4 linked regions of the Bombyx mori genome follow. The main gene of each other region encodes a partner of the protein of the gene in region 2 in a complex. Links are inferred from orthologs where the notes say so. Each region holds a gene or a part of one and is shown on either strand. Other genes may lie near its edges. The genes, in order: dynein regulatory complex subunit 3, dynein regulatory complex subunit 4, dynein regulatory complex protein 8 and dynein regulatory complex subunit 7.

Region 1 (6,998 bases), on a different chromosome or scaffold from region 2:
TAGCGTTTGTGAAAGTGCAAGTTAGGAGAATAAAACCAATTCACTGGGATTTTTCCAAAAAGTAATTTAGTTTCCATTCACTAAAACATTTCATTTCTATCTATTATGTTCGATTTATCTTGTACAATTTCAAACAAATTCAATTTGTTTCATTTTCATATTACATATTATAACCAAATATGTATAATAATTCAACATTTAACTATAAATACTTTACATAATATTTTACGTAATAATCTTATTCTTAAAAGTATTTTTTTTTGCCTACCTAAGCTGAGTGCCCTGAGAGACCATTTCAGCGTAACCCTAACGAGTAAGTGAGCTCACGGGGCTCAAACTTGACGACGTTGCTAACACTAACCCTAGCAAGAGCAGTGTTTCGCGTAAAGGTTCGACGAGAATTAAAAGTCAGAAGAGAGCACTGTTTGTTTGTTTGAATTATATGATATTCATGTTTTATTAATCTTACTAGCGACCCGCCCTCGCTTCGCTTCGGAAACATTAAAACACACATGAAACCAAAAAAAAAAAAATAAAAAAAAATAAAAAAAAGTAGCCTATGTTCATCAGGGACAATGTCGGCTTCTAATGGAAAAAGAATTTTTCAAATCGGTCCAGTAGTTTCGGAGCCTATTCGAAACAAACAAACAAACAAATCTTTCCTCTTTATAATATTAGTATAGATGTGACAGACTATATAATAATAATTAATCAATATATTAATGTCAACACTACAATTAACCCTTTGCGGTCTAAACTATATGTCTCAATATGTGTAGACTCTGAACCTCAAAGGGTTAACAGCAGTTTCATATTTCCAGGGTCATGCACCTGCTGGTGGATGTCTCCTGTCAATGTCCTGTGAATACAGAGCTATGGTCACAGGGAAATACAACATTGGTTTGAATGAAACAGCATTGGGCATTGTTGCTCCAAAGTGGTTTATGGACACTATGTGTAATACTATATCTAAGAGAGAGGCTGAATATGCACTCACCACAGCTAGAATGTTCAACACTGATGAAGCATTGAAGGTAAATAATATAATAAAATAATAATTAATTAATTTTGTAAACTTCCTTTTATAAAAATGAAGGGGTGTGAGTGAAGATGTGTGCAAAGAAGTTATTTTGAAAAGTTTAACATTATCAGTGCAGGGTTATCATAGACATCAAATCAAATTATCTTGCCTTGGAAAATATCTCCTGGCATTTAATATGAGAGTGATTAATGTTCAGCATCCCTTACAGGAGGTATTTCGAGTGCTTCTGAGTCATTAGGGTTGCTTCAGTGGCTTGTTAGGAAAACGCATCCAAGTAATGCCCTCATTTAAAAAAATACGATTATTTAGTAAGGATTAAATTAAATATAAATTTATGTTCCATGGGGAGTGCTCTGAGGAATTGTTCGAGATGATACCGGCATCTCGTTTTTACCATCGCACCGCCCGCCACCGGAGTAGAGTTCATCCATACTACCTAGAGCCACTGCGGTCATCCACAGTGCGTTTCCAGAGGTCTTTTTTGCCACGTACCATCCGGCTATGGAATGAGCTCCCCTCCACGGTGTTTCCCGAGCGCTATGACATGTCCTTCTTCAAACGAGGCTTGTGAAGAGTATTAAGCAGTAGGCAGCGGCTTGGCTCTGCCTCTGGCATTGCTGAAGTCCATGGGCGACGGTAACCACTCACCATCAGGTGGGCCGTATGATCGTCTGCCTACAAGGGCAATAAAAAAAAAAAAAATTATTTAGTCTTATTGACAAACCATGTAAATTTATTTTAAAAGTATATTTACTTTAACAAAAACTGTGAATGTACCGCACATGATAAATTTTTTTAAGGTGGGACTCATCGACGTTTTAGCTACAGACAAGGCTGATGCGGTTGATAAATGCAAGAAGTTTATAAAGAAATTCGACAAAATCTCGCCTATAGCTCGTGCTTTAACCAAGCAAAAGATCAGGGCAGAACCTTTGACGTGGCTCATCAAGAATCGTAAACAGGACACTGATGAGTTTTTAACTTTTGTACAGAACCCGAAAGTACAACAATCGTTAGAACTTTACATTCAAGCTCTCAAACAGAAATCTGCTAAATAAATGCCTAATCACAATTATGTAAATAAAACATGTATGTTGTAATTATAAATTTTATAATTAAAATACTGTTCATTTACTTTTGAGTATTTTTGAACATTCTAACAAATTTTGTAAATAGTAGGAATTTTGTATTATATATTTTAGTCATTTATATAAATACAATTTTATACCACTAAAATATATTATCTATGATGTTGATTTAATAAGTACTTAGAATTAGTGTTGTAATAATTGTCATAGATATAAAAGTGAATATAAGACTACAATAATAGAGACACCAAGCATGAAATGTAGCATTGACTTTGTAAATGACCTCAAGTAACCATTGTATGACGTTGAAATGGAACGTTGATCCCACAACTCAGTAGACTTCAAATTGTGCCAAAACCGTGTACAATATGAAAATAATTAGAATATGTACTGTTTTGAATTTTTGATATGATTTACATTGTACTGTTCTTGTTTTACATGTAATATTTATGTTTTCAATAAAGATTGTTAAATCGTAAAAATATATATTTGTATTTCTATACCCTGTAAAATGGTTTATTTACATAGAAATAAATGTCTAAAATTTAAGTCATTGGATCACCCTTAATACTCACTACATCTTACTAGTGTAGTACCACTTCATTGGGTCAGACCATAGACTCTTCCTATTATTTTAACAATAAAAAGTTTTCTAGATTAGATTAGTTATATTTGTTTTGTACTGAAGAGTAGCACCGTTTTCTGAGCATTAATTATACCACCGCATTCTGATCATCAACTTAAACTTCCCAACTCTTATCACCAGGATAGGGCATATGGTGGGCCCGTAGTTTATTTCTGCCGCGAAGTAATTAGGAGTAGGTTTGAAGGGTGAGACCGTTATGAAATATAGTGGAAGACTTTGACCACACGTTTCGAGGTGAACACTCACGCTCTGTAGTCTGTGGGTTCTGGAAATCTAGACCAGTGCTTAGTGCGAGTTTTTTAACGTTCTCGATAGCGTAAAAGTTAACCCAATTTTGTATGCAGCTGGAACAGCGCCCCTAGCGGCAAACGATCCCATTCCATACAAATATACACTAACTTTTACGCTATCGAGAACGTTAAAAAACTCGCACTAAGCACACAGGTGGGGAGAGTGAGATCGTCACCAACACAACTATAAAAAAAAAACTATTAAAAAACAAAACAATGTTTTATTAATATTGAATAATTAATATGCTATTTGCCACACAAATATCTACAACAATACCACCAGGCCTCGTCCTTAGTTTTTTAAAAGTCATCACCAAGTAAGGCGACCGTCTCCGGGTCTACTATTTCAGTAAGTCCCATCTGCATATCAGTCCACTCCTCTCTTTGATTGTCTATGTAGTAATTTATCTCTAATATACGATCTCGATTACGCTTTACTTCGTTACTGAAACATAACCACGTAATTGTAAGTAATAGAACGCTATATATTCAAATTATTGTGCAAATAATAAGTATTTACCTATGAAGTTTCCGTTTTAGAATACTGGCCATTTGAAACGTACCTAATGTTGTATAAGTAAGCAATAAATTCCAGATCCAGAATAAATTTCATTTTGAAATTCAGTCCTTTGTTTATTGGATCGGTGAAAACATTATGTTTGTACATTTCTCATGAATATGGATACGATATTAACATGAGAAATTATGGTAAACGACTTTCGTCACGGTAACGATGCCGCACAAACAAATGGCTCACAACATTAATACGTGTCCGTAGTAAACACTACGAACTAACACACCACTCGTTGTTTTGAACGATTCAAGCATGGAAATTTTACTTTAAAAAATACACCCAGTGGTCACCCGAAAACTAAAGTCAACCATTGAAATACGTACTAAACAAATGCTCACGATATGCAATAACATCGTGTGATAAAATTCAAACCCGCTAAATTATAATTTGCGTAATTACTGGTGGTAGGACCACTTGTGAGTCCCTGCCTATTTCTGCCGTGAAGCAAGTAATGCGTTTTGGATTATTGAGTGGGGCAGCCGTTGTAACTATACTGAGATCTTAGAACTTATGTCTCAGGGTGGGTGGCGCATTTGCGTTGTGGATGTCTATGGGCTCCGGTAACCACTTAACACCAGGTGGGCTGTGAGCTCGTTCACCCATCTAAGCAATAATTTTTTTTATTAACGATCGCCAACGCAATAACGCCTGTACGCCAATGTATGCCTTGCGTTGCTTAAAAGACAACGAAACGAAGAGATTGCGAACCTCCTTCACGGCAACGCTCGCCCTCATGCGACACAACAGGACGGTCTCTTAACTATAACAGCTAGGGTTGGAAGTTTTGTGTCATCTACCGTACTTACCAGACCTTGCACCGACAGATTTCTACTTTTTCAAAGTTTGAATAACGACTTTGTACTAAAAATCGAATACCCGATATGCAGTACAAAATGCCTTTGATGAGTTTATTGGCCCCCTAACTTCTTTACACCAGATTTCTTCAAGAAGAGCATTGAAAGATAACCAAGGAACTCGTAGAGATGTACCGATTTGGGTATATATTTAGATTGATAGTTTGGGGTTAAACGACAAAGAGATTGATGGATCCGTCCACTGAGCGGGTGAAATTCCTCGGTAGACAACAATAAAACTTTCTGTATACATAACGGCAATTTCGTAGGTAAATACCTATTAATAAAACCGTGCAAAAATAAAAATACATTATTTCATTTGATTAATCAGAAGACACAAAAGCATTTAGCATAAATTACTGTCTATAAAAATGTAATACATAAAACTTAAAACTGTTTCGAAAAACGAATACTGTTATATATGAGTACCAAAGCCTTACGAATAGCAGTATGTCGAAACCTAAATCTCAATAATAGTGGTAAACCTCAGTACTGACTAAAGACGCCGGTGAAAGAAGTTGCAGTGGTCATTGACCTTGCTTATTAAGCGCGATGACTTGATTTAACTGTTTATTATTAGTGTAGTCTGCATAGATAAGATAAGAGTAGCTCTCTGTCGCGTAGCTAAATTAGTCCCTTAGGCTACGAGCGCTTATGTAGGGAAAAATACATATTGACAATGTTTTCTTTATTATATAGTACCTACTTAGGGACTTAAAATTAGAAATAGATAAACTTATTTATTCCTTAATCTGACAACGGAGCATGTATTTTATTTTATGAGCACCCAGACTATATTATTCCTTTTACACCTTATCAAAATGGTACATGTATTAATTATTTTTATTGTATTTTTATAGTGAAGGAAGGATCGTTCGATACTCACTCATTAGTGCCTTGTACAAGTTCATCTCGCCAGTTGTTGGCACGGGTCATGAGCAAATCCTCGCGTCCATCAATAAAACGCATGTGGTTATCCGAGGATTGAGCCACTAAATTCATCATTAAATCTCGATCCATCATCACCTGCAACACGACAAACTTATCAAGGAACAGAGAACTTAAATTTGAACAACACACCAACAATTGACAAGATTAAATTGCTTAAGGAAGAAGAATTAGTTTAAAAAAGTTGAGAAAATGTATCTTAAGTTTAAACAAGGATGAATTGGAAACTGTAACAAAAACGAAAACATAATTTGATTGAGTTCCTGATTCCTAATACACTATTGTTAATAATATCGATATTTGTAACGTTTTTTACTACTGGTAGGACGTCTTCTGAGTACTATTTCTGGCGTGAAGCAGTAATGCGTTTCGGTTCGAAGGGCGGGCCAGCCGTTGTACTGTAAAAACTGAGACCTTAGAACTCGTGTCTTAAGGTGGATAGCGGTATTTACGTTGTAGACGTTTATGGGCTCCGGTAACCACTTAACACCAGGTGGACCCTAAGCTCATCTACCCATTTAAGCAATTACAAAAAAAACCTATCACACAATTTATTGGCGGTCTTATCGTAACAGGGCGGCGCGTGCCAGCTAGATTTGCATTACATTGCGGGTCACTTTATGGCATAGTAGGTACATTTCACCTTCAGCATTGAAAACGTTTCACGATGTAGAACCTTGATTTAATTTAAAAAGTGCAACCAAGATCTCAACTGTGTGTAAAAATGTGAATCAACCTCAAATAACTCTGGGGGTACGTCTCCCAAGATGAGCTTATTCCCAAGGAGCTTTGACAGCGCCTCGAACTGTCTCATAGACCAGACGCCCTCTTGTTCGCGCCACGCTCCGAATGCGTTACGAGATACCTCCAACAGTTTCGTTACCATTTCCGTTATGTTAACAGAAAATTGTACGCGAGATTCCTGTGATTAGAAAATAAAGCTGTCTAAAAAAAACTTAGGCTTAGCAAATACTATACTGTATCTTTATTATGTACGTATATATCTTTCGTCTTTAGTCTGAAAAGTGTTTTGTCACATACATCGTGATAACTCACAATGTCTCCAGTCCTTAATACGAAGGCTAGAGAAAACTTAACCTGTTATACCCCAATAATATTTTCATCACAAAAATTGTACAGAAGAATAATAAATACCATTTAATATTAAATTCTAACAATGACATCTTAATTTTATGTTTTATGAATCAATTAATTTAAAAGAGGATGTTTTTATAAAAATTTACTAAGTATTAGGTTTTATTAGGTAGATACTAAATAAAATTAAATACCTCACACTGCTCGTAGAGCTGCATCTCTATGGTCATGAGACTCTTCCACAGGTGGTAGAGGACCTCATTGAAGGTCTCGCCGAGGTCAACTATCAACGGCTCAAGCTCCTCTATGGTAGCTTGCTTCGTCGTGAACCTGTTTATGAATTCTTGCATTTCATTTACAAGCGGCCTCTTTTTGTTTTCGTATTCAATAATGATCCTATTAAATAAATAATCTTCAATCGGCAAATAAAACAATCAAGTTTCAACTTTTTAGACTAGACT
Region 2 (8,467 bases):
AGATTATGAAAATAGCATTTCTCGTAAGTATTAAGTATTACTGTTAATTTTAAATATTTTCAAAAAAATTATTACTTTTAATGCGTGAATTATTTGTCTAAGCTACAAAAGTATTTAAAAAAAAAACATTCTAATACAAATACCTTGTTGATTTTTATAAATTCACTTACCCATGTATATTACGTTGTAAATAACATTTTCAATTTGTTCTTAACGTGCAAAAATTAAGTTATGGAAAAGAAAATTGTTAATTAAAAGATAAATAAATATATATATTAATTCCATAAATAGTATATAATATATAGTAAACGTTTGTAAATGCAATTAAAAATCGCTAAAATGCAAGCGGAAAGGTTCAAAAAATGTTTGACGCCTTTTCATTTCAAACTATTGCCTTATGAATGTTTTGTACATAATTAAATTAAAATGATACTAAAAAAAAAACGTTAGTAGGAAATAAAACACTTATTGGCTTCATTTTTTTGGTTTTATTTATTCTGGCACCGGCAATTACAGCGAAAACATCGACCTCATATTTTAAGGTTCGTTCATTCATATTGTTATAGTAATGGGTTCCGGTAGCCTTCTAACACCAGTGTGCTTAGTGCGAGTTTTTTAACGTTCCCGATAGCGTAAAAGTTAACTCAAATCTGTGTGCAGTTGGAACAGCGTCCCTAGCGGCAAACGTAGGCAAACGTTCCAACTCCATACAAAGTTAACTTTTACGCTATCGAGAACGTTAAAAAACTTGCACTAAGCACAATGGCTGATCGCTGTGAGATCTATCAGATAGCTTGATCTTGAATGGTACGCAGTCGCCCGGCTCTGCCAATGTCATTATCAATGATCTTAGATGGTGGTGACAGCTTATTACGAAAAAGGAAAAAAGGATTTACAAAAATATTTTTTGGTATTTACAATTTCTCTTCAGAACAATTTAGATAGGCACAACTTTTGCAATTATATTATACAATTTTTTTAATTTCTATTTCTAACATTGATCTTTCGTCACTAATCCTGCTGGTCCTTGACCTATTACAGGCGATACTCCGGCCACCGCAACGGCTTTTAATGGTCTGAAAAAAAATATAATACCTATAATAAATAACATCTTGGGTTTTGTAATAGTGACATCTCGTGGATACGTTTTGTACTATATAAACTTTTTCTCATAACATTAAATTTCCAGTTCATAAATTTTGCAAACAGCGCCATCTGTTACTATCACGATAATACACTTTCAAACGTTTCAATTTTTAAATATTTTCATTTTATCAAACTAGATGTCGCTTGGATAAACTTTATTTATTAGTTTTCATTAAACACCATAGATGGCGCTAAATTTAAATTTACTCACTTGAAACCGAGTTCTTCTGGAGGCACTCCTAATTTCACTAGTTTCGCTTCGTAAGTCGCGAGTAGATCATCATGCGCCTTCCGAAGTCGTGCGGCTTCATACCGAAGATCTTCTACTTGGGTGTCTTTGAGTTTGAGCAGTTCCTTTTTAAATTAATTAATACTAAGTGAGTACAATGTAAAACCCATGAAAAAGTTACTACTGTTAAGAGGAAGTCTTTTTTTATTTAGCGCATACATAAGTGGACGAGCTCACAGCCCACCTGGTTTTAAGTGTTAAGGTCGTGTTTCCGATCCGGTGGTAGATTCTGCGTAGCACGGCTCTTGCTAGGGATAGTGCTAGCAACGTCGTCAGGTTTGAGTACCGTTAGCTCACTTACTTGTTAAGGCTACGCTGAAATGGTCTCTCAAGACCATCAGCGTAGGTAGGAAAAAAAAAGGAAGAGGGGCGAAACAGCCGGATTCATTTATCGGTAATAAAAATATTAACTCACATGCAATTCTCTCGGTCCTAAATCTCTTGCTTCCATATTTTTCAACTTGGTTTCCAGTAGGGCCGTTTTCAACGAAGCCCTCTGTTGTACTTCTAGTACGGCCCTCGAAAATCTAGCCTTCAGCTCGTCTCTTTCAGCTAGCACTCTGTCGAAGCGTATTTGTAGCACTTCGTATTCCCATTTCAAGACTTCGAACTGTTTCTCTAGGGTTGCTAGCTGTTTCGTTTTTGCCTGTATTTTAATATAGTTATTGATTTAATAAGGTGGATGACGGCATTATATATTATGTACTTAACTGTAAATGTTCACGATTGACTTCCACGGTGAAGGAATAACATCGTGTAATAAAAATGAAACCCGCAAAATTATAAGTTGCGTAATTACTGGTGGTAGGACCTCTTGTGAGTCCGCACGGGTAGGTACCACCACCCCGCCTATTTCTGCCGTGAAGTAGTAATGCGTTTCGGTTTGAAGGGTGGGGCAGCCTTTGTAACTATACTGAGACCTTAGAACTTATTATGAAGGTGGGTGGCGGTATTTACTTTATAGATGTCTATGGGCTCCGGTACGGAATAGATAAATAAGGTTGGAAAGGCCTTTGCTCTAATTTTGTATTAGAACCAGTGTCGCCGCTTCATCCCCACTATTTTAATTTCTACACATACACACACTGTGATTACAAGTATTTCGCACACAACAAAAACACCCACACATAAATCTCAGGACAGATATTCGTTCGCAATTAGCACAAAACACCCGTAGGCATACACACTCACACACGCAAAAAGGCAATAAAAATGTTCATACACGCTAGTGCTTGGTAAAATCGATATTCTTTATCGATAAATTATCTGATGAATGAATGGAGAAAATGAAACATGAAATAAATATTGAAAAAAAAAAACTATTTTACTTTTATTAATTACAAATAGTCACTGTCGCTGGAATAAAACGTATTTGTTAAGCAGTTGGCGCTTGCTATTAATTGCGAATGAATTTTTCAGAACTAAGTGTATTATGATTTTTTTTATGGTAAAATCATTTTCAGTAAAATGTTTAGAGCAAATAGTACTCGTCTTTGTCTCCAGTTTCCTCTACCTGTCACGTCAATCCATTGTTCCCTGGCGTTAGGTTCTTTAGGAAACCTAAAATTTTTTATTTACTGCATAAGTCAAATGGCATTTTATTTAGATTTTAATACGTCTTAGACAATATAGTAAATACCCGTAAATGAGAGGTCTACATGTCCCTTTATATTATACCTTCACTTTAATTCAATGATAATAATTCAATAATAATAATACATATTTATTTTACTCAAAATACGTCTCACTAAGAATATACTAGGTATCATTAATTAAATATAAAATAATGCAAAAAATATCCATGTCAAATGTAAATATAGTCGAGAATTCTGTCGATGATTTTATTTCACCACATGGTCACCTCACTATCGACAAACTAGCGCCGTGCACCACGGCCAATCAGGGCAAAGGCCGAAATTTCAAAGATTGAAGTGTAGAGAACGCAATGCATGTAGTACATTGGAAGCTGACTTGGTCATTGCGTTCATTGGGCGAGTACACATCGCGCAATGTATGCTATTTATAACTTGCTGCAATAATATTGTTAATGTTTGGAATTTCATAATGCTCAGTATATTTTTATGTTTTAGACAAATAATATTGTAATTAAATGGTAATTTCGACTTACCGATCGAAAGATATACCTCCTCGCTCTATACTTGAGGTCTGATTTTTTGTTTTACAAGTTATAATTGCACAACACGGCACTATAAAGCGGAGATCTGTTCGCCCAAATATTCCGAAGCGCACTAAACGCGGTGAATGAAAGAATCGGTCGAGTTATGTTTGTTCGATCATAACAGTGGCACGCTTGCCCCGCCTACATTACCATTCCAACCTTATTTATCTATTCCGTGGGCTCCGGTAACCACTTAACACTAGCTTAACACTAGGCTACTAATACTCACAGCTAAAGCAGCTTTGTCCCTATCATAGTTTGACATTTGCCGTTTCAGTTCCTTGTTGTCGATGATGGCTGCTTCTAAAGGCTCTCGAAGACCTTTCGCTTCTGCTACTGCATCTCTCGCGATCTTCTCGGCGCGTTCTTTAACTTTCTGCATATCTTCCATCTGTTGCTTGAGGCTACTGATTAAGCCTTTAGATAAAGAGCAATTTAACATTAAAATTGGATATTTATTTTGGGTCTGCAAATTTATATCACAATATTTTTAAGATTTTTTTTTCATAATCAAAGAGGAATCTTTTCCTGGAAAACTTTTAGCAAACGATAGTATCGTTAACAATTACAATTCTTTTAAAAATATTGAAGTATATATTATTGAAGTTACATTTTGAAACTGCGCTAAAAGATAATAAAATCGTAAAATTTAAGCTCTTACCCAAATTGTTCAAAGTGATATCGTTGTAGTAGTTCTTTAAGTCGGCAAAAGCTCTTTCGTGATGGGCTATCAATTCAGACAGCTGTTTATTCTTTCTCTCTTCAACTTCAGCTATTTCGGTTCGATGTTTAACTGTCAACTCTACCTTAGTTTCTTGAAGCTTCTTTTCAGCTTTTTCTTCTATTTGTCTTGCTTTTTCTTCAAATTCTGCCCTCGTCTTAGAGAGGTCTTCGGCATGCATTAATTTAGCTCTCCGCAGTTCGTCTTGAGCAGCTAGTGCTTTCTCTCTCATTTCTTGTCTTAGTGCTCTTTTGTCATTCAAAAGCTCGAGTTCTTGTTCAGCGTGTTCTTCTTTAGCAGCTTTTAAAGCCACGAGATTTTCCGCCCTCAAAGCGGCTGCAGCAGCTTGCTGTTCGTACTTTAGATGTTTTATCTTCTGTTTCTCCGTTTCAAGAAGCGCTTCATTTTCTTCTTGTGCTTCTTCTGTAGCTCTCTCTCGGTTACGAAGTTCAGCTTTAGCTTCTTCTAGTTGTTGTCTAGTAATTTCCCAGAATGTTCGGATCTTGTCTCTTTCTAACTGAAAGTAGTTGCGTTCTTCCCTTTCTTTGTCTAATTCTTCTTTCACTCTAAGAGTGAATTGTTCTAGTTTCTCTCTTGTCATTTCAGAAGTGTCGACTCCATCAATAACGATGGCTGAAACAATACATATATTTTAAGTTTTAAATTTAAATGAGTCGGAGTATTAATAATGAATACATTACAGTAGGGCTAATGTCATATTGCATTTAAACTTATTAGACAATTAAGTTTTACCTGCCGCCTTCTTAGCACCGCCTTTTCCTCCTTTGGGCGGCTGAAAAATATTATAAAACATTGTTAAATACTCATTAGAATGCTTCCTCAGAACATAATGTAGGTGAAGTTAATAATGGAGCATACTCACTAGCTAATAAAGTCAATTTATATATAAATTCATTTTGCAATCAGCGGGTGTGGTAGTCATTTTAACACCGGTATTATTTCTTATAAAAAACAAAGAGTAGCAGCTTATCTGGTGGCCCTTCCCTACTTATGGCCGGTCAAACCCGAAATGGTCACTACCCAGATCTAACCCAGGATTTGATTCCAAAAAGTAAATAAAGACTATGCCACAGTTTTGAAGGGATCCAGACTATTTAAATAAAGAATCAACTTACCATTTTGTTTATTTATTAATATTTAAGTAGTGTGATAGTTAAACTGAATTTGACAACAAATAAGGAAGACACATCGTTGTCATGGATTGTGATTAAACAAAGCAGTTGTCATAGCAACGGTTTCTACGACAATATTTTTCTATTACAATACGGGCTATATATATACTATATCATTAGTTAACGTGTTATAAGCTAAATATAAAATCGGTTGTCTGTAAAGTCGGTCAGTTGAACGTGACAACGTCATAAGAAAAAACTGATGGAATGGTTTCATTTTTCAAAAGAAAATTTTAATTTTATTTTGTTTGATAGATATTTTGTATGGACAATTGACACAACAGTCACTTTTCACTGAACTTCATACTTGACGAAAACATGAAAATGTATTATTGTATAGCAGCTGTCCACGCGGGCGCATCGCTCACTCAAGTAGGAGAGAGACAGATGTCGAACGCTGTTGAACGCGGAAGCCGATTTTGCCTCTTTGTCGCTCGTTGCGCGCTCTCGCTTGCACTTCAAGCCTTAAATGGAACGCCTCAATGAGTCATGTTTTTTCGTGCGTGCAGCCGGCTCCATCGAATTTATAAGACGTTGTCACGTTAAAAAGTTTAAAGTAAATGTTTTATCTGATTTAGTCGAATAACGGCCCAGTTGAAGGCGAGTGGTTACTATCACCCATGGACATTACTAATGCCCAGAGCACAGCCAGGTCACTGTCTAACTCTGAATCAAGTTTAAACAAGCAAACTCAGCATTGGTTTTTCTTACTTATAGCGCTTGTATGCGACTCTGTGTGATAGCACTAATACTTAATTTTCAATTCGATTTGTTAAAGATTTTGTAGGTTTTTTTGCACAGAATCCTATCCCTGAGTTATCTGCCATTGAAAATGGGTCTAATCGCTTCAGTGTTTAGAAAGAACAAGAGACAAAAATTAAAAGCTATTATCATAATCAAGTATATCGGGCGTTTTGTAAAGAGCTTGCCTATATCTGCCGTGAAACAGTAATGCTTTCCATTTTGAAGGGGTGACATCCACTTAACACCAGGTAGGTCTTGAGTTCGTTCACAAACCCAAGCCACAAAAAAAAAATCGGCGTGAAAAGGCAAGCCGTGTTCTATTTACATTTCAAAATAAGCAATCACGTTGACACCTGTCAAAGATGTCATGATTTGACTTAATTTCATTTTACACCACTTTTACACTGACAAATTCGACGTGCCGCACGCTATAGTATGTGAAAGTAACAAAATTTTAAAATTTTCCGTTCGCCAAATCAAAATGCTGGTACAAACGTTGAGCACTTTGATGTACACTTTCGTCTTTTTAAGTTTATTCCTGGTCGATTATTTGTTAGGCAATGGTTTCGTTGATATGTTCCAAACGATATTCTGCAAGATAGCTTGTTTCGTGAAGAAAACATTGCGAGAGGAGGCGAAAAAAACGCAATTGGTTGGCAAGGAGAATCCGATTAGCATTCCGGTCATATTCATCGAAATACTGGTTTTGTCATTGACTATTGCCGTGAGTATTGTCGAATTTGGCATCTTAAAACCAACGGCCATACAGTTCAAATTAAAGTTAGTGTTGTTTAGAAGTATATCGAGCAATATATTAATGTAAATTCAGGTCGTATTGAAAACCTGTAAGAATAAGTCCTCAGAGGCTTACAATACGCTAAAAGACCCGAAAATACCCGTCGGCCATCGCGGTATGTCTTTTTTTTCCCCTACCTATGCTGATAGCCTTGAGAGGCTATGTCAGCTTACCCTAGCGTGTGTAGGTGAGCTCACGGGGCTCAACCGGAGAGTTGCTAACACTGACCCTAGCAAGAGCAGTGCTTCGCAGAATCTACCACCGGATCGGAAACGCGACCCACTGAGAAGATCCGGTGAGAAACTCAGTGGGCTGTCTATGGGTGAATTCGTTCGTCGAGCCCTTCGTCGCAAGCGACGGGTTAGACGGGGACGGTGACCGGTGCTTGTGGTGCCTAAAAGCACCGTTAATGGATCAGGAGGATCCGTAATGACGTGCTTTGGGCGACGTCGACGGTTTACCATTCGGTCTACAGGGTCGGGTATGTAGTTTCCAGCGGCCACGACAAAGTATTGTCGTAATTGGCACCTTAAAACCAACGGCCATACAGTTCAGATTAAAGTTAGTGTTGTTTAGGAGTATATCGAGCAATATAATATTATAAAGTCAGGTCGTATTGTCAACCTGTCGGGATAAGTCTTAGAGGCTTACAATACGCTAAAAGACCAGAAAATACCCGTCGGCCATCGCGGTATGTCGGAGTGATACTCTGAGAATGCAGCTGAGCATTCACAGGGGAAAGCATTAGTATCTTTTTACGGCACCCCGAGAAGAAACGTGGTAGTTCCATTCCTAGTTAATACCACACAATAATTAACCAGAAAAATCTGTGAATTACTGATCAATGTGTGAATTCTGATCAACTGTATCTCTACCTGTTGTTGACAAAGAAACGTTATCATTAACGTATAGCCCTTATTTATGATACAATAAAAAAATCGAGAGGTGAAAGGCTATTCGGTTTAAGCGACATTTTTGAATATTTACCGGAGAGCCATTTAAAGTTTAAAAGTTGGAAAAAATACCATGAAAAATGCTTCTTTCAGCTATTTGAATCCAATTCGATTTGTTAGATTAAAAACATTGAATTATTGATCCTAATCTATGCATATAAATAAAATTAGAATGTCTGTTTGTATTATTGAAATAACCGCTTTTTACTACATGCATATAAATATTTATACGGTGCATACACTAAAATAACATTTTTTACAATTTTTGTCTGTTTGTTCCCGCTAATCTCTGAAACGGCTGGACCGGTTTTGATGAGACTTTCACTAATAGGTAGCTGATGATATATGGAGTAACTTAGGCTCCTTTTTTTAGACTAGCTTTAACATGCGGCGTCACCCGCGGCACGACAATAACCGCGGGTAACATCGCGGGACTCGGCTACCAA
Region 3 (8,348 bases), on a different chromosome or scaffold from region 2:
CGTTCATATTTGAAGTGTAAGAGAACGGTTACAAATTAATGAACCGAAATATTAAATTAGACTTTCATGTCTCAAGGCTGTGTGGCGGTATTCAAAAAGTGACGTCTATGTATTTCAATGTGCTTAGTGCGAGTTTTCTTACGTTCTCGATGGCGTAAAAGTTAACTCAAATTTGTATGTAGTTGGAACAGCGTCCCTAGAGGCAAACGTAAGCAAACGTTCAAACTCCATACAAATTTGAGTTAACTTTTACGCTATCGAGAACGTTAAAGAACTCGCAAATTAAGCACACATCAGCTGCGTTATAACAGGTAGGCCGTGAGTTTGTTCAGACATCTATTAATTAAGAATATAAAAATTATATAAAATCGTGCTCAACAAATTAATACTATGTTCTGTATCTTACTTATACTGCTTCATTACCCACTGATCTCTGTTATACTTGCTAAACAAAGGACGACTGTCCACCACAAGCTATGAGCTATGCTATATTTAGCGAAATCACAATTCGTCGGGCGCTACGATAACTCGCGTTTATCACTAAAATCTATATGTTAGTGTTCATTGAAGCAGAGCTTTGCAATTCAATTCTGTAGAATAAAACATTACTCGAATCACAATATAGTGCAATGACGCTTTTGATAAATACACTGCAGTCATTAAGATAGAATCTGTTTACAAAAACTAAACAAACCTTATTTTATTCATGCACATTACATTGGCAAACTTAGTGCCCAAAACATTTTCTACTAATCGACCAAGGATGATATAGAAAACCTACTACACCTACTACAGGTGCATTAATTAAAACGAAAACAGATGCTTTTCTATTATACTATACAATATACCAGGGATGGCTAACCGGTAGCGGTAGGCGGCGGGTTGACTCTGCCCCTGACATTTCTGAAGTCCATGGGCAACGACAACCACTCACCATCAGGTGGGCCGTATGCTCGTCTCCCTACAAGGGTAATAAAAAAAAGATCGCAATCGACCGGTCGATCTTGGCTATTAATTCAGTCGATCGTCATTATCATCTTCTTCATCATTCTTTCCTATTACCCTCTGCTGGGGTGTAGGGCTCGAATCAAATTTTTCCATTTACATCGATCGTGGCAAGACAAAAAAATATAAATACATAGAACAGACTGCGCAACGTAATCACCAATTGCTGCACGCATCATCTTCATCTTGTATCATTAAATGATAATTGTATCATTGAAAGATACATTTTTTGTAAATGACAATTACCTCACATTATTTATTCTCTCTTCCACGCAATAGTTCTCTTTTATTGTATAATTTCAACTTTATGTTAATCTTTTCAATAAAAGAAAATATACTACTTATTTGTATACTGAACTGCATTGTTTCATAAATTTCAAGAAATGTCATTGGTAGATCGTAGTGCTTATGTAGTGCTTCGACAGTAAACAGTTGATCTTGATTCTAATCAAGTTGGCCACCCCAGCAATATACTAACTGTGCATATTATACCAGCAGATAATATAAAATAAATCCATATCTATACTAATATTATAAAGCTGAAGAGTTTGTTTGTTTGAACGCGCTAATCTCAAGAACTACTGGTCCGATTTAAAAAATTATTTCAGTGTTAGATAACCCATTTGAATCCTACAGGAAGGCTATAGGCTATATAACATCACGGTAAGACCAATACAAGTGGAGCACCAATAAAGAATGTTTCAAAATAGGGGTTTAAATAGCTCCATAACATTCTATAATTCAAAAATATTTTCACTTTCTACGTAAATGAAGTGGGGGTAAAATTTAGCGTTATGCCAAAGTAACTATTCCACGTGGACGGAGTCGCAGGTAAAAGCTAGTTATATATAAAATCAACAAATTAAAATAGATACATAGAATATTATAAATCTTAAACTTTATAAGATAAACTAAAATATAAACAAAACAACAAAATAGAATGCGCTCACCATAAGTTGGTTGATGTAATATTCGTACATTATTGTATCTGTTACAGGATCTAACGCTGTTTGCATCATTTCATCGTACTCCTCCTGTATCATGAAAAAAATGAGAGCCATAAGAATACTCGTTGAAATTTAACCGAGTCAATTCATATCCATATACAACAGTATAGTATTTGTTAGCATAACATATAACACGGTATTATTTTATAATAACTAATGTTATGGATTATTGTTGTATAGTGTTAGGATTATTAATTATAAAAAATAATGTTATATTATAATACGATTCGGTATAAATAAAAATTCTATCGAAGTACGAATTGAAACTGTGTTATCTCTTAGAACACTTAAAACACTTCACAAACACGAGAGACTATTTCAGTTTCGCCCTAACATGAAGGTTCACGGGGCCCAAGCCTGAGTGTTGCTAACACTGGCCCTAGCAAGAGCAGCGCTTCGCAGAATCTACCACCGGATCGGGAACGCGACCCACTGAGAAGATTCGGCGAGAAACTTAGTTCGGCGAGGACTGTGACCGGTGCTTGTGGTACCTAAAAGCACCGTTAATGGATCGGGAGGATCCGTAATGACGTGTTTTGGGTGACGTCGACAGCATCTCTGCAACGCTTATAAAGTCGATACGACATCCCTAGAATCGTCGAGAACATTCCTCACAAGTCGAGCACTTTCAATGCGTGCTTCCGCTACCTGACAATAGATGGCGTTGTACTTTTCGAGCGTTCTAGATGTTGCTATCATTTGGTATTCGTTTCGGCTGTTCAGCGATAGATGGCGTTACTCTTACCGGCGTAACAATATATTATACGACATAAAGTGAAGGCAGCCGGAAAACGAATTGTTTTATTTAAAACTAGCTGACCCGGCAGACTTCGTAGTACCCCAATCGATAAATAAAAGACCGACAGGGGACACATCAAAGGAAAAACAAAATTGTTATTTTTATTAAATTCCGTGCATTTTCATATCTATCTATCTTTTAAATCTTCGCTCGACTTCCACAAATAATTCAAGACCAAAATTAGCCAAATCGGTTCAGCCGTTCTCGAGTTTTAGCGAGACTGATTAACAACAATTCATTTTTATATATATAGATATAGATAATAATAAGAAATTTTAAGGTACCTGCGTAAATGACTCTCCTTCTTCCATCATAAGCTTGGCGAACCTCTCTTTAGTGAGGTACCCACGTCCCTCCGTGTCAAAATATCTGAATGCAGCCAACAGCATTTCAGCGCTCGCCGGATAAAACCTGTCCCATTAATAAATAAAATACCTGACATAATGAACATTTTATGGAAAATTAAATTAAAAAATTCACGTACGAAAGGTAGAAAGCTAACATCAAAATCTACTTATCTCGGTGATCAATGGCGTAATTGGCTTTGTCAAAAATTCCAACGTTTCCATAAGCTACAATTTAATGGCATAAGCACCACATGATGCTTAGGCTAAAGTATAAGTGTAGGTAATTTATTTCGTAGTAAACGCAATACAGTGAAATCCAATTGTTCTTTGTCAATTTTTGATATTAGCATAGTCGGCCGCGTTTTAATTAGAAACAAAAACCTTAGCCACAGCAACGTGTGGCCGGGTCTGCCAGTATTATATTAAAAAGAAGATATGAAAAATAACAACGAAGATTGAGCCACACTGTCAAAATTTTAAAATTGTTTAACCTTTTTAATTTTAATATTACAAACCTATGTTCTATCATGACTTTACACATGTAAGGTAAAAAGTTCGTTAACGGAACGTTTCCAGTTGCTTCTTTGTTTTCCGTTGCTAAAATCACCTCTTGTATCTCGGCTTCAGTTGGACAGCAACCTTTAAAAAACATATATTTAACGTCTCTTTTGCTATATTCAAAATTTACCATGTAAACAGTCTATTTAGTACTCAAACAGTTATCCGCTTAGAAGTTTCCAAAACAAAAAACGGCCTAAGGGTCCGTTCACACAGACCGGCTCGGAGAGGAGAGCACCTTCATTCCGACTATTCCTCCTAAATAATTTGTAGCGACTCGAAGACGTGAATAATCACTGTCATACTAAAATTGAGATATCTATTATCCTAAAAGGGTGAAAAATTGGAGCACGGAAAGCAAAATGATGACTTTTTTCATGCGTAATTACGTTGTAAACACGGCTATTGTATTCTTACGATATTTAGTATGATTTCGCGATACTTCGGCACTGTTCCAAGCGCCATCGGCTACTCGTGGTGACTCGTGTCTTTTAATTTACCGTGAGAGTCAGAATTTTTTAAATACTCTTTATTACACTAGTAAAGTATTAAAACATTTAACGAAAACCAGAAAAAAAAGCATTACCCAAAGATCGAAGAATTGTTCCTATTTCCCTTACATCTACGACTTGCTTCCCAGAATGGTCAAATACTTCGAAAGCTTCAATTATTTTTTTCTCCAAATCATTGTTTGGTTGAACTAGAAAGATACATTTAAGGTATATGAGATATACCAATATATGACATATATCAGATATTATACCAGACGTAATATCTATTTACCAATAAAAATGTTTGGTTTTGTTTAAATTTCAACTAATAAATGTATTTATGTATGTATTCATTTATAATAAAATTTAATGAGTGATACTAAATTACACAGTATTTACATCGCTCGTTTATAAATTATTAAATGTATATAAAGTAAATCTTTCAAATAATAACTAACTTTTAGGTTCCTCTTTTCTTGCCATAATGAACTAATAGTTTAATTATAAGATTTGTAACACTAATAAGTACACGTATTAAATTGAAAAAAATATTCCGTAACCAGGCAACACAACCTATCAGTTATCACTAGTGTCATCGACGAAGCTTTAGTTCTATTTTGCACCAGAGCTGCTGTAAGTTAGTATGTATATATGTGACGGATGCTTTGAACATGATTTTGACCCCCTTCAAAACGTAGACTGAAATCAAAATTTGACATAGGTACTTATCAAGGACCGTTGACAATGCAATATTTTAAACAGTTAGACCTATTATCCATAAATTAGTTTTTTTTAGGATTAGCTCCCAGTTTTAACAGCTCCTCCACAATATTGACAAAGCTTAATTCAACCAATGTACAAATTAATAGCTTATTGTTGACATGTTGATGTTTAATTGTCGTACCACATTCAAAAAATATTAGTTAAAAAAAAATATATACTTTAAAAAACACAAAAATATGCTTTTATAGAAAATCAAATAGAAAATAAATTCATTGTAAAAACAATCCAATCTATACTGATTAAACAGCAGGCTTCCAGACTTTTGAGTAGTATGGATAAGAAACCCTTGGCCTTTTGAATTTTACAACAAATAGCTTATTCCAAAAAATTCTGGAATCGCCAATCCCCACCATAGATAATATACCGCCATTTCCTTCCGTTATGCTGATGCGCCGCTAAATCGCCATTTTGGATTTAGTTGGCGCTTTTTCTGTCGTGAATTTTCGTTCAGATAGTAATAGAATTAATATTATTTAAGCACATGTGTTTTAAAAACTTTAAAGTGTTGTGAAGTGGATACTATCAGACGATTAATACAATGGATCCTGCTAAAATGAAGGTGGTGGACTTGAGGTCCGAGTTGGGTGCTCTCGGGTTAGATACGAAGGGAAACAAGCCGGCTTTGGTAGAAAGATTGAAAAAAGCACTCGAAGCGAAAACTGGAACAGGTTAGGATTTCAGATGTAATTATTTAATGCGTAATGTACAGTTTTTTAGTAATGTTGCTGAAATTGTTGTTAGGGACTTTTTTAATTACTGCACGTGTACATTTGTCGATCAATCATGGATCATTGTTGCACTGTTGTTTCCACTTTAAGAGATTTAGTGTGATTCTTAGTAACTTTAACTTCCGTAGTAACCATACATCAGTTTGCTGTCCCATTTAGAGATTTGCAAACACACCTATTTTAATATCTGACGCCAAAATCAAGGTTACGACTTTATTCACACTCAAGCATGAGATAAAATCGCATAAAAATCTAATAATTTATTAAATATTAATGTACAGCATCATTAAGTTTTCGAAGTATTTTATATGTTTTTACTGATACAACGACGCATATCAGTTATTGCAGTTATTCCAACTGAACAGTTCAAATCGTAATCGGTTTGAAAACTTCGACATCGATATCAATTTATGTATACACTGTTTTATGGGAAATTCATTCATATGATTATTCTTAGGCTTAATAATAGGTAAGAAGAGCTCGATTCTGCAAAGTAAAATAAAACGAAATTCAATCAAATCAGTTAAAAGCTTTTTTTGCACAAAATGTATACGTCTTTTTGCTTCTAATGTCCAGATATAGTATTTTTAGGTATAGAAGTAACTTTAAGGATACAACCTTGATTAATTAATGTTTTCCTCTAAGGTCTTCAACGAAATTATTAACTACTGTTATTTTATTTAAATTTGCTATCAGATAATATGTTGATTAGTATGAAATATTAAGACTAATATTTTCCAGAATTGTTGAAAAAAGCATGGGTAGCAAATTAATTTATTCATCACAGTCTTATAGATAACAAAGATAATATACAGAGATGGTTTTTAAAATAATAATTAAGTACCTAATCTACTAAATAAAAATAAATACCATACTTTGTTTATGATCTGTGTTTTAAAAGCAATGTTTATCATTAAATTGATGAAGATTACAATGGTCATATTACTGTCAACCTTATCTAAAATAGGTTGCATGCAATATGTTACAAACACAGAAAACTTATTATTAAATAATAAAATTAAGTAAGTTTGTTTCAACTTTATTTTGTCTGTGGTGGATGCTTAGTATTGCAACAGATATTATAGAGTTCAATAAAAAATTATGGAGAGAAAAAAACAAAAAAGTCTGAAATCACACTGTGGATGCAGAGAGAATTGAATGCATAAGTGGTATATGATATTTCAGGGAAATGAGCAGGACCCTAGTGCGACTTGTACCGGTGCTTTGCAAAACAAGTCTTTGTTCAGGTGCGAAATAATGCTTCATTCTGTTGAGGATTCCCAAATTTTACAAAGCAAAAAATGTCATGTAGTATTTCAATTACAATTAATATTTATTATCAGACTATAATAGAGTAGGTAATACCTAGAACATTGTTAATGAATGCAATGTTCGATTATTGTGAACATTTTAAAATTGTTAGTTAATATATAAAACATTTTCAACAACAACATAAAAACATTATTGAAGAAGTAATTTTTTATTTTAATTCCTTTAAAACACTAACAGAGTTAATATAAGAAAATCAACCATTAGAACTGGCCAGAGTGCTTAGTGTAAGTTTTTGAACTTCTCAATCATGTAAAAGTCAACTCAATTTTGTATGGGGTTGAAACAGCGCCCCTTTGTTTCTCGCTAAACGCATCAATTATGCGACTGAACAATTACAGCCCTTATGGAAAGTAGTTTTGTAGAACATACAATACTGTATTTAGGATAGTATATAGTATATATAGGGTTAAAATAATTTATTAAACTATTAATTTAATATCATAAAAAGAATGTATGTACTAAAAAAATTCATCTAAATTATGAAATTAGAGATTAAGAGAAAACAAGCAATGTAGTGATTAATTCACATGCAAAACTACTTCAAATGAAAACAACAGTGTTTTAAATCATTTTGTTCAAAGTAATCACTATGGTTGTCTTTACCATTTTTGTAAATAGTAATGAATGCATAAATAAATAAAATAAAAGGTTGAGTGCTGTTTGTGTAAACAGTAAAAAAATGTTATTTATTAAATTTCAACAAGCATATAATAATTTATGTACATCCATAATAAATAATTATACAGAATAAATTTCTTGTACATTTAGATTACATCATGCTTTATAGCTTGTTACCATCTGTACTACAAAAAATATTGTCACTGTATTTAAAAAGATAGTTAAAAAAAATTTGAGTTTTGAATAATTATTTTCCTTATGATTAATGCCAGAATGCTCTATATGCTTAAACTATTTGAAGACTAAATTAAGAATATTGATAAGGGATACACCTTAATCAATTTTTATTAATTTGGCTTAACACCCTAAATACACTTCGATAAAGCGGCACGACACGAGAACCCTCTCATCGTGGCCGCCGGTAACTACATTCCCGATCCTGCGGACAGAATCGAAAGCAGTCGACGTCGCCCAAAACACGTCATCTCGGATCCTCCCGATCCACTAACGGTGCTTTTAGGTACTTCAAGCACCGGTCACCGTTCTCGTCGAACCCGTCACTTGCAACGAAGGGCACGACGAGTAAATTAACTCTCAGACACAGCCCATTGAGTTTCTCGCCGGATCTTCTCAGTGGGTCGCGTTTCCGATCCGGTGGTAGATTCTGCGAAGTACGGCTC
Region 4 (7,889 bases), on a different chromosome or scaffold from region 2:
TTCGGTGAGCTCCTTGTGTCTCTGCCGCAGATATCCATTGACGTCGGTCTCTCTGTCGCGTATCTGCTTCGTGGTCGCGTGCTCCCATTCCATGTTTTCGCAGAGGGCGTAATACACTTCCAAGTCGCGGGGTTGTTTAGCGTTCGGGTCGGCCTGTAATTACGCGAATTGGCGTACACGGCGAATCGCATTACATTATTTACAAATACCTACTAGTGGTCCCCCGGTAGTCGAAATTCGACTATAATTAATTGAAATTATAAGATTGTACACTATTATGATTCTATTGTATTAATTTTGTGTACAAAAAAGAATACACTCTCTCCCTCTCTCTCTTTTCCACCTTCTTCCTCCTCCTCTCTCTCTCTCTCTCTCTCTCTCTTTCTCTCTTTCTTTCTCTTACTTTCTCTTTCACCCTCTACCTCCTCCTCTCTCTTTCTTCCACCCTCCCCCTCCCCCTCTCTCTCTCTTCCACCCTCCCCCTCCCCCCCTCTCTCTCTTCCTTTCTCTCTCTTTCTTCGTAAAAGTTTGTTTAACGCAACTCACGATATACCCGGAGGTTTTGTCGGGATAGAACAAGATTTTCCCGCCGGTCTCAGCCAAGTTAGGTTTTATATAGCTCCTTGTGTTGTTAGTTACGTAATTGTACGCGTATTGGTACAGCAGTTCTATAGTATTGTCCTGGAGGTGGAAGATCTTCTTCCAGACGTCTTGCTTTGATGGGATCTCATGGTTTCTGCTGTACGTCTCAGTTACGTCCTTTATTTGACGTTTAGTTTCTTTCGTTCCTTCTGTATATATTACTAATCTTGATTCTAATCTGAGAACAATCCGAGAATGAAGGATTCGAAAGTGATTTAAGGACCGCTTTTAAAACTTGTCTAATTTTTTATTATTTAAGTGGATTACCGGAGCTCATAGACATCCACAACATAAATGCGCCACCCACCTTGGGATATAAGTTCTAAGGTCTCAAGTATGCACACGGCTACCCCACCCTCTAAACCGAAACGCATTACTGCTTCACGGCAGAAATAGGCAGGGTGGTGATACCCACCCGCGCGGCCTCACAAGAGGTCCTACCACCAGTAACTACGCAAATTATAATTTTGCGGGTTTGATTTTTATTACACGATGTTATTCCTTCATCGTGGAAGTCAATCGTGAACATTTGTTGAGTACATTGAGTTTCATTAGAAAAATTAGTACCCGTCTGAGATTCGAACACCAGTGCATCGCTCAACACGAATGCACCGAGGTCTTATTCGTTAAGCCACGACGACTTCATGTAATGTTCTTATTGAAAAATCAATTTTGACGCTGAATTAAACGCTGATAAAAATACTATAATTAGGTAAATGATGATAGGAAAAGACAACGGCCGGTCTGATCTAGTGGCTGCGGGAGTCGATGAGACCAAAACTTCAATCACTTTTCCTACTTCAAAATACGAGGTCAAAATATCCCTTGGACTTCAAATCGTGCTGACAAGCTCCAAAAGCATTCTAACGTAAATTTGGGACAGCATTAAGAGTGTACCTGTCGCTTCTGTTCGAATAATATTCATCGAATGTAAGGGTAGTGCAGACCAGCCTCGTGAGGTGGTCAAGTCGGGCGTAGTAATTGAACTCCATGGTCCTGACTGCCTCCACAGAGCCGACCAGCGCGTCCATGGAGTACACGTGCTCTGTGGAACATTTTTTTCCATAGTAAAACTTTACGATTAGTAGGTAGACGAGCTTAGGGTGAGTTTTTTAACGTTCTCGATAGCGTAAAAGTTAACTCAAATTTGTATGGAGTTGGAACGTTTGCCTACGTTTGATAGCAAGCCAAGGTGGGTGGCGCATTTACGTTGTAACCACTTAACACTAGGTGGGCTGTGAGCTCGTCCACCCGGCGTATGGCTCTGGTATAAAGTTGTTTTTTTTCGAGTTACGACAATTCCGCTTTCCTCCATCAATACAGCAAGCTAATAAAAGCGTATTGAAGAAACCAAAAACACAATAATTACTGAGTAAATGATCCCTCCTTCCGATACCGAACGTCTCGCGTATCTCACGCTTCGTGTGATCTATTCGAACGGTTTCCATTTTGTCGACGCGATGCTTGTACCACTCGTACCTAGAAAACATTCCGTTATCTGCATTAATTTAATTTAATTGGAATTTTAAACAACTACAGTGCCCGCCGATAAATGCTGCCCATCGACATTTGGAAAGCAACGATCGGCTAATTTCGGCTTCATAGAACGTTATCTCTGTAGAATATTTGTAAGTAACACGTTCATTGTATTTTAATAGGACAACTTAGATGTATGTTTATCTCTTTCCTAAATCAAATTGATCTTACAGCTATGGAGCGTAGAAGTAAGGAGCATCATTTTGGTGTATTAAAAAGTGTCCGCTGAAAGAGAGCCAATTAAGGGGGCGCCACAGTAGCTAGTGGAAGGATTTTAAAAACACCGCCATAAGCTATCACACTTCATTTCAATCCAGCCCAGTTCACTCTGTTTAAAACTAAATAAATTCATATCATTTCCATTTCTTACGCTGGTGCTATTTCGGTGATTCTTCAAACAATAACCTTCTGATTACAGGTGGACACTTTTTTTTTATTGCTTATATGGGTGGACGAACTCTCACAGCCCACCAGGTGTTACAGACATCTACAGCGTAAATGCCGCCACCCACCTTGAGATATAAGTTCTAAGGTCTCCGTATATTTACAACGGCTGCTCCACCCTTCAAACCGGAACGCATTATTGCTTCACGGCAGGAATAGCCAGGGTGGTGGTACCTACCCGTGCGGACTCACAAATAATTTTGCGAGTTTGATTTTTATTACACGACTAGCTGACCCGGCAGACTTCGTAGTGCCTCAATCGATAAATAAAAGACTTAAACTTTTGTATAAAATAAACTTAAAACAAACAAAAGGAATCCGTTCGACGGAGGACATATCAAAGGAAAAACAAAATTGTTTGTTTTTATATAATTCCGAGCATTTTCATAATTATCAACCTTTTAAACCTTCTCTGGACTTCCACAAATATTTCAAGACCAAAATTAGGGAAATCGGTCCGGCCGTTCTCGAGTTTTAGCGAGACTAACGAACAGCAATTCATTTTTATATAATACTAGCTGACCCGGCAAACATTGTTTTGCCATAATATATAAGATTTCTAGGGAATTTCTAGTGTAGAAAAAAAAAAAAATAATTTATTGTAAGTGTGTAAGGATGTGGTAAATGAGTGAAAGAGGTATGTAGTGTTGTGAACGATGAGGGAATATATAATAAAAATAACAAAACCTCATTCAACCACATAATACCTCAATAAAAAAAAAAAGTCCAAATAAAAAAAATATGTTAGGGGTGGACAACCCTAATCACTTAGGGGTATGAAAAATAGATAGTAGCCGATTCTCAGGCTTACTGAATATTCATAAAAAATTTCACGAGAATCGGTCAAGCGGTTTTGGAGGAGTATGGGAACGAACATTGTGACACGAGAATTTTATATATTAGATATAGATAGATGTTCAACTGGTTCCCTATACAAGATGCGTGCTCATTACTTCTACCTCTCCATAGCTACAGCCTTCGCACGTCAGAGAAGTCTAGGGTTCTCTTAGCGGTGGTGACGAGGCGTATTAGGCCTCGTTTCTGGACTGTGTAAAGTCGAAGACGCACTCACGTGATCAGCGGGACGGTCAAAGCGTAGTCCTCAAACGTTCTGATCCTCTTCACTACACCATCCCTCTCGGAGTAGGGCGAGAACTTATCCAGTAAAACTTTCTTGTAGTGTATCACTTTGTGGCTGCCCGGATATCTTTGACCGTACTCTGATAAGGGTATTGCTTTGTTAATCCTTTGAGAAGCGTGCAGGTCACCGGTGCTCTACGCGGCGTAGTAGTAATTATGTCGATTTCTGTTACTAAGGCGCTTGGATTGTCCTTTTTTTTATGTCTTAGACGGGTGGACGAGCTCAGAGCCCACCTGGTGCTAAGTGGTTACTGGAGCCCATGGACATATACAACGTTAATGCGCCACGCACTTTGAGATATGAGTTCTAAGGTCTCAAGTACAGTTACAACGGCTGCCCCACCCTTCAAACCGATACGCGTTACTGCTTCACGGCAGAAATAGTCGGGGTGGTAATACCTACCCGCGCGGACTCACAAGAGGTCCTACTACTTAAATACACGATGTTTTAGTTTTTTAGGTATCTTACGCATAGATTCATTCTCATTACCTTCGGGTTCGTCTTTCCCAGTATCGACTAGATATTCTGTCGCGTTAGCAACAGTAAATCGATATAAGAGTCGTCTATTATCAAAGGTGGCAATCTGTGCATTTGGACAAATTTTTTTTATTGATATGTCAATACAGATTCATTTGAATATAATCGTCTCCTTCAAAGAATACGGTTCAAAAACTGCATTAAATAAAGGTTAATACTTAAGCTGTTATTTATCTAAGATGTCGTTCAGAAGAGTTTTGTGACTGCCAATGGAATACAAAGTCAATAATTCGTTTTTCTGATTTACCAATAATTTTCCAAAAGTCACATTGCTGGCTTTGATAATAGTCGACTCATAATTACTTCAGTGCGCTACGTAGAGCACAAACCGGGCCTAAGACTCTTACAAGTTAACGTCGCCAACCACCCTAAATTCCAAGTAACGGATATCCCGTTCGCTTCAGATTTACAATAGACAATAATCGACTCAGAATTGCGAACGTAATTTTACCATCAGTACTAATCTCCAGTTTCTCAACCCAGCTGACTGGCATATCCAGATGCTTCTCTGTTTGCACAGCTGTCTTCTTGTCGGCGATGTCAATGCCGACCATCTGCCTCCGATGGTGGGGCTCGCCGGCCAGAAGATGCTCCCACGCTGAGAGGTCGCTCAGATCATAATTCAGGCTGTCCAACCCAATGTCTGTGCTTTGGACGTTTGCCTTAAAAAAAGTTGTAGGTAGGTATGTAGTTGTACTCTTTTATTTATTTCTTAACACCACACAGGTGGTACCAACAAATTCACTGATAATTTTATTTATTTAGCGATAGTCAGAGAAAGGTGATGCATGTGACTAGGAGATGTATGGAAATGGTAGTGCAAGGTAGAGGGGGAAGAGGTTGACGAAGAAGACAGGGATGAAGTGTGTGAATGACGATGAGAGAGAGAGGAGTGAGTGTTGAGATGACGCCTTTTTTTTCATACCTAAGCTGATGGTCTACAGAGACCATATGAGCGTAACCTTAACTAGTAGGTGAGCTCACGGGGCTCAAACCTGACGATATTGCTAACACGAGCCCTAGCAAGAGTCGTGCTTCGCAGAATCTACCACCGGATCGGAAACGCGACCCACTGAGAAGATCCGGCGAGAAACTCAGTGGGCTGTGTCTGTGGGTTAATTTACTAGCCGAGCCCTTCGTCGCAAGCGACGGGTTCGACGAGGACGGTGACCGATGCTTGGGGTATCTAAAAGCACCGTTAGTGGATCGGGAGGATCCGAAATGATGTGGATAGAAGAGAATGGAATAGAAAAATTCTCTGTGCCGACCCCAATAAGGCGGAGATAAAGAAGAAGAGTCAGAGAAAAGCGTGTCCAGGGCTTAATAAAAATTAAAACTGCCTAGTTCTAGAAATATAATACACAATAACTCAATAATTAAAATTATTATAATTAATGTTCCATTACGTATAATTTATACATAGTACTCGTGATTAATTTAAACCTAAAAGCTTTTTTAATCGACCGATTAAAAAATACTATCAATTTGTTGAAATTCGACACAGGAATTCGCCGGTTTTCAATAAAATTTGCAGTTGAAACTCACATAGTAGTTTTCGTGATTGTACACGCTGTCTATGAATTGGTATTTTTCTGAGTCGAGGAGATGACCTTCGCCTTCGCTCGGCTCTATGAAGAAAGGTTCGTCGATTCCCATGTATCCCGGCAGCACGAGGACCCAGGCGTGAGTTCTCCACCCGTTAATAGCGTCAGCCGGGGCTTTTTCCAAATCCTGAAAACCAACGATTATTATTATTATTATTTTATTGCTTTGATGGATGGACGACCACAGGCTCCCCCTGGTTGTTAATTGGTTACTGGAGCCCATAGATATCTACAACGTAAATGCAAGTTACAACGGCTGCCCCACCCTTCAAACCGAAACGCGTTACTGCTTCACGGCAGAAATAGGCAGGGCGGTGGTACCTACCCATGCGGACTCTCAGGTCCTACCACCGCTAAATAGGCAAATTATAATTTTTCGGGTTTGATTTTTTGATTATACGATGCTATTCCTTCAACGTGGAAGTCAATCGTGGAACATTTGTTAAGTACGTATTTTATTAGAAAAATTGGTACCCGCCTGCGGGATTCGAACACCGGTGCATCGCTAGATACGAATGCACCGGGCGTCTTATCCTTTAGGCTACGACAACTTTAGCATCCAACGCCAACAAATTACACCGACAAACGCTACAACTTGTACGCTTCTATCCAGCTTGATGACCATGAGGTCTAAATCTCATTCGTAACTGTCCCATCCCTTAATGCGCTGGTGCTATGAGCCAAGAGCGACGTCGAACTATATGACAATAACAAAAAAAAGTAATACACAAATTGATTCTAAGTATTGCGGTGTGGATGCTACTGGACGAATTTCGACCGCTTGGCTGAACACTTGATTAAGTAAATACTCCAATCTACATTTATATACATATACATCTATATATATAAAAATGAATTACTGTTCGTTAGTCTCGCTAAAACTCGAGAACTCGATTTGGCTAATTTTGGTCTTGAATTATTTGTGGTAGTCCAGAGAAGGTTTAAAAGGTAGATAAATATGAAAATTCTCGGAATTATATAAAAATAACGACTTTGTTTTTCTTTTGATGCGTCCCCCGTCGGACGGATTCCTTTTGTTTGTTTTAAGTTTATTGTATACAAAAGTTTAGGTCTTTTATTTATCGATTGAGGCACTACGAAGTCTGCCGGGTCAGCTAGTACTAGATAATTACTTCTTATAAAACAGGTATCTTATGTTATAAATAACATAGGACATTATTATTATACTGATTATACTCCAACTAAAAATGATGTAAGCACAGTTAAGTACATATCTGTTTAATTATTCTATAAATTTTTATGTGGATTCTGAAGAGACCTTAAATTAAATATGCATAAAGATGCTAACAGCAATTTTACGAAGTCGCTCTTTCTCGGTCTTGTTCAGTTCAGCTTGTTTCTTATCATCGGCTTTCTTGTCCATATCACGGCAGTACTTAGAAGTGAGATCCGGTAGGGGCACCAGGCGATATCTGGGCTCTTCGTCAGGTGGTGGAATTTCTTCTTTTTTCTGGATACATAAATGAAGGTTAGGTTCACTGATGGTAGGACCTCTTGTGAGTCCGCACGGGCAGGTACCACCACCCTGCCTATTTCTGCCGCGAAGCAGTAATGCGTTTCGGTTTGAAGGGCGGGGCAGCCGTTTTAACTATACTGAGACCTTAGAACTTATATCTCAAGGTAGGTGGCGGCATTTACGTTGTAGATGTCTATGGACTCCAGTAACCACTTAACACCAGGTGGGCTGTGAGCTCGCCCACCCATCTAAGCAATGAAAATTGAACTTTTTTTACTGCGATTCCGATACCGTATAGCAGAGATGCATTCGCGAAGCAGTTATCCTTGAGCTGTTAGGTTAGAGGAAGCTTCAGATGCAGCAGGCTTTTCCTGTTAAAACGCAAGGCTTATAAACGCAAACCACTATCATTCCATCCCCAAAAAATATTTCATATTTCAACAATCACGTAAAAACCGTTACCCACCTTGAAACATGGAATCTATAGCAAAAATCCCGCACCTTCAAA

Evidence for each region.
Region 1: dynein regulatory complex subunit 4 (region 2) and dynein regulatory complex subunit 3 share a complex: the UniProt entries of both Homo sapiens proteins name them as parts of the nexin-dynein regulatory complex. The link is inferred for Bombyx mori from reciprocal best matches to the Homo sapiens genes DRC4 and DRC3.
Region 3: dynein regulatory complex subunit 4 (region 2) and dynein regulatory complex protein 8 share a complex: the UniProt entries of both Homo sapiens proteins name them as parts of the nexin-dynein regulatory complex. The link is inferred for Bombyx mori from reciprocal best matches to the Homo sapiens genes DRC4 and DRC8.
Region 4: dynein regulatory complex subunit 4 (region 2) and dynein regulatory complex subunit 7 share a complex: the UniProt entries of both Homo sapiens proteins name them as parts of the nexin-dynein regulatory complex. The link is inferred for Bombyx mori from reciprocal best matches to the Homo sapiens genes DRC4 and DRC7.

The regions. Positions count from the first base shown.
Region 1 is NC_085117.1:10,143,500-10,150,497, forward strand, and holds the end of dynein regulatory complex subunit 3, read right to left. Parts: intron 6,934-6,998; coding exon 6,732-6,933; intron 6,365-6,731; coding exon 6,179-6,364; intron 5,521-6,178; coding exon 5,381-5,520; intron 3,512-5,380; coding exon 3,367-3,511; 3' UTR 3,268-3,366; downstream 1-3,267. Other genes in the region: enoyl-CoA delta isomerase 1, mitochondrial, read left to right, coding at 822-1,034, 1,843-2,100. UniProt on the Homo sapiens protein: Component of the nexin-dynein regulatory complex (N-DRC) a key regulator of ciliary/flagellar motility which maintains the alignment and integrity of the distal axoneme and regulates microtubule sliding in motile axonemes.
Region 2 is NC_085113.1:2,414,968-2,423,434, forward strand, and holds dynein regulatory complex subunit 4, read right to left. Parts: upstream 5,636-8,467; 5' UTR 5,475-5,635; coding exon 5,472-5,474; intron 5,129-5,471; coding exon 5,089-5,128; intron 4,969-5,088; coding exon 4,276-4,968; intron 4,032-4,275; coding exon 3,844-4,031; intron 2,082-3,843; coding exon 1,851-2,081; intron 1,501-1,850; coding exon 1,358-1,500; intron 1,077-1,357; coding exon 992-1,076; 3' UTR 466-991; downstream 1-465. Other genes in the region: uncharacterized protein LOC101744974, read left to right, coding at 6,754-6,996. UniProt on the Homo sapiens protein: Component of the nexin-dynein regulatory complex (N-DRC), a key regulator of ciliary/flagellar motility which maintains the alignment and integrity of the distal axoneme and regulates microtubule sliding in motile axonemes.
Region 3 is NC_085130.1:5,992,762-6,001,109, reverse strand, and holds the start of dynein regulatory complex protein 8, read right to left. Parts: upstream 4,824-8,348; 5' UTR 4,691-4,823; coding exon 4,666-4,690; intron 4,417-4,665; coding exon 4,303-4,416; intron 3,798-4,302; coding exon 3,674-3,797; intron 3,223-3,673; coding exon 3,096-3,222; intron 2,279-3,095; exon of another isoform or gene 2,040-2,278; coding exon 1,956-2,039; intron 1-1,955. Other genes in the region: heterogeneous nuclear ribonucleoprotein U-like protein 1, read left to right, coding at 5,529-5,658. UniProt on the Homo sapiens protein: Component of the nexin-dynein regulatory complex (N-DRC), a key regulator of ciliary/flagellar motility which maintains the alignment and integrity of the distal axoneme and regulates microtubule sliding in motile axonemes.
Region 4 is NC_085131.1:3,588,873-3,596,761, forward strand, and holds part of dynein regulatory complex subunit 7, read right to left. Parts: intron 7,376-7,889; coding exon 7,214-7,375; intron 6,032-7,213; coding exon 5,846-6,031; intron 4,963-5,845; coding exon 4,752-4,962; intron 3,843-4,751; coding exon 3,695-3,842; intron 2,122-3,694; coding exon 2,012-2,121; intron 1,688-2,011; coding exon 1,540-1,687; intron 821-1,539; coding exon 547-820; intron 154-546; coding exon 1-153. UniProt on the Homo sapiens protein: Component of the nexin-dynein regulatory complex (N-DRC) a key regulator of ciliary/flagellar motility which maintains the alignment and integrity of the distal axoneme and regulates microtubule sliding in motile axonemes.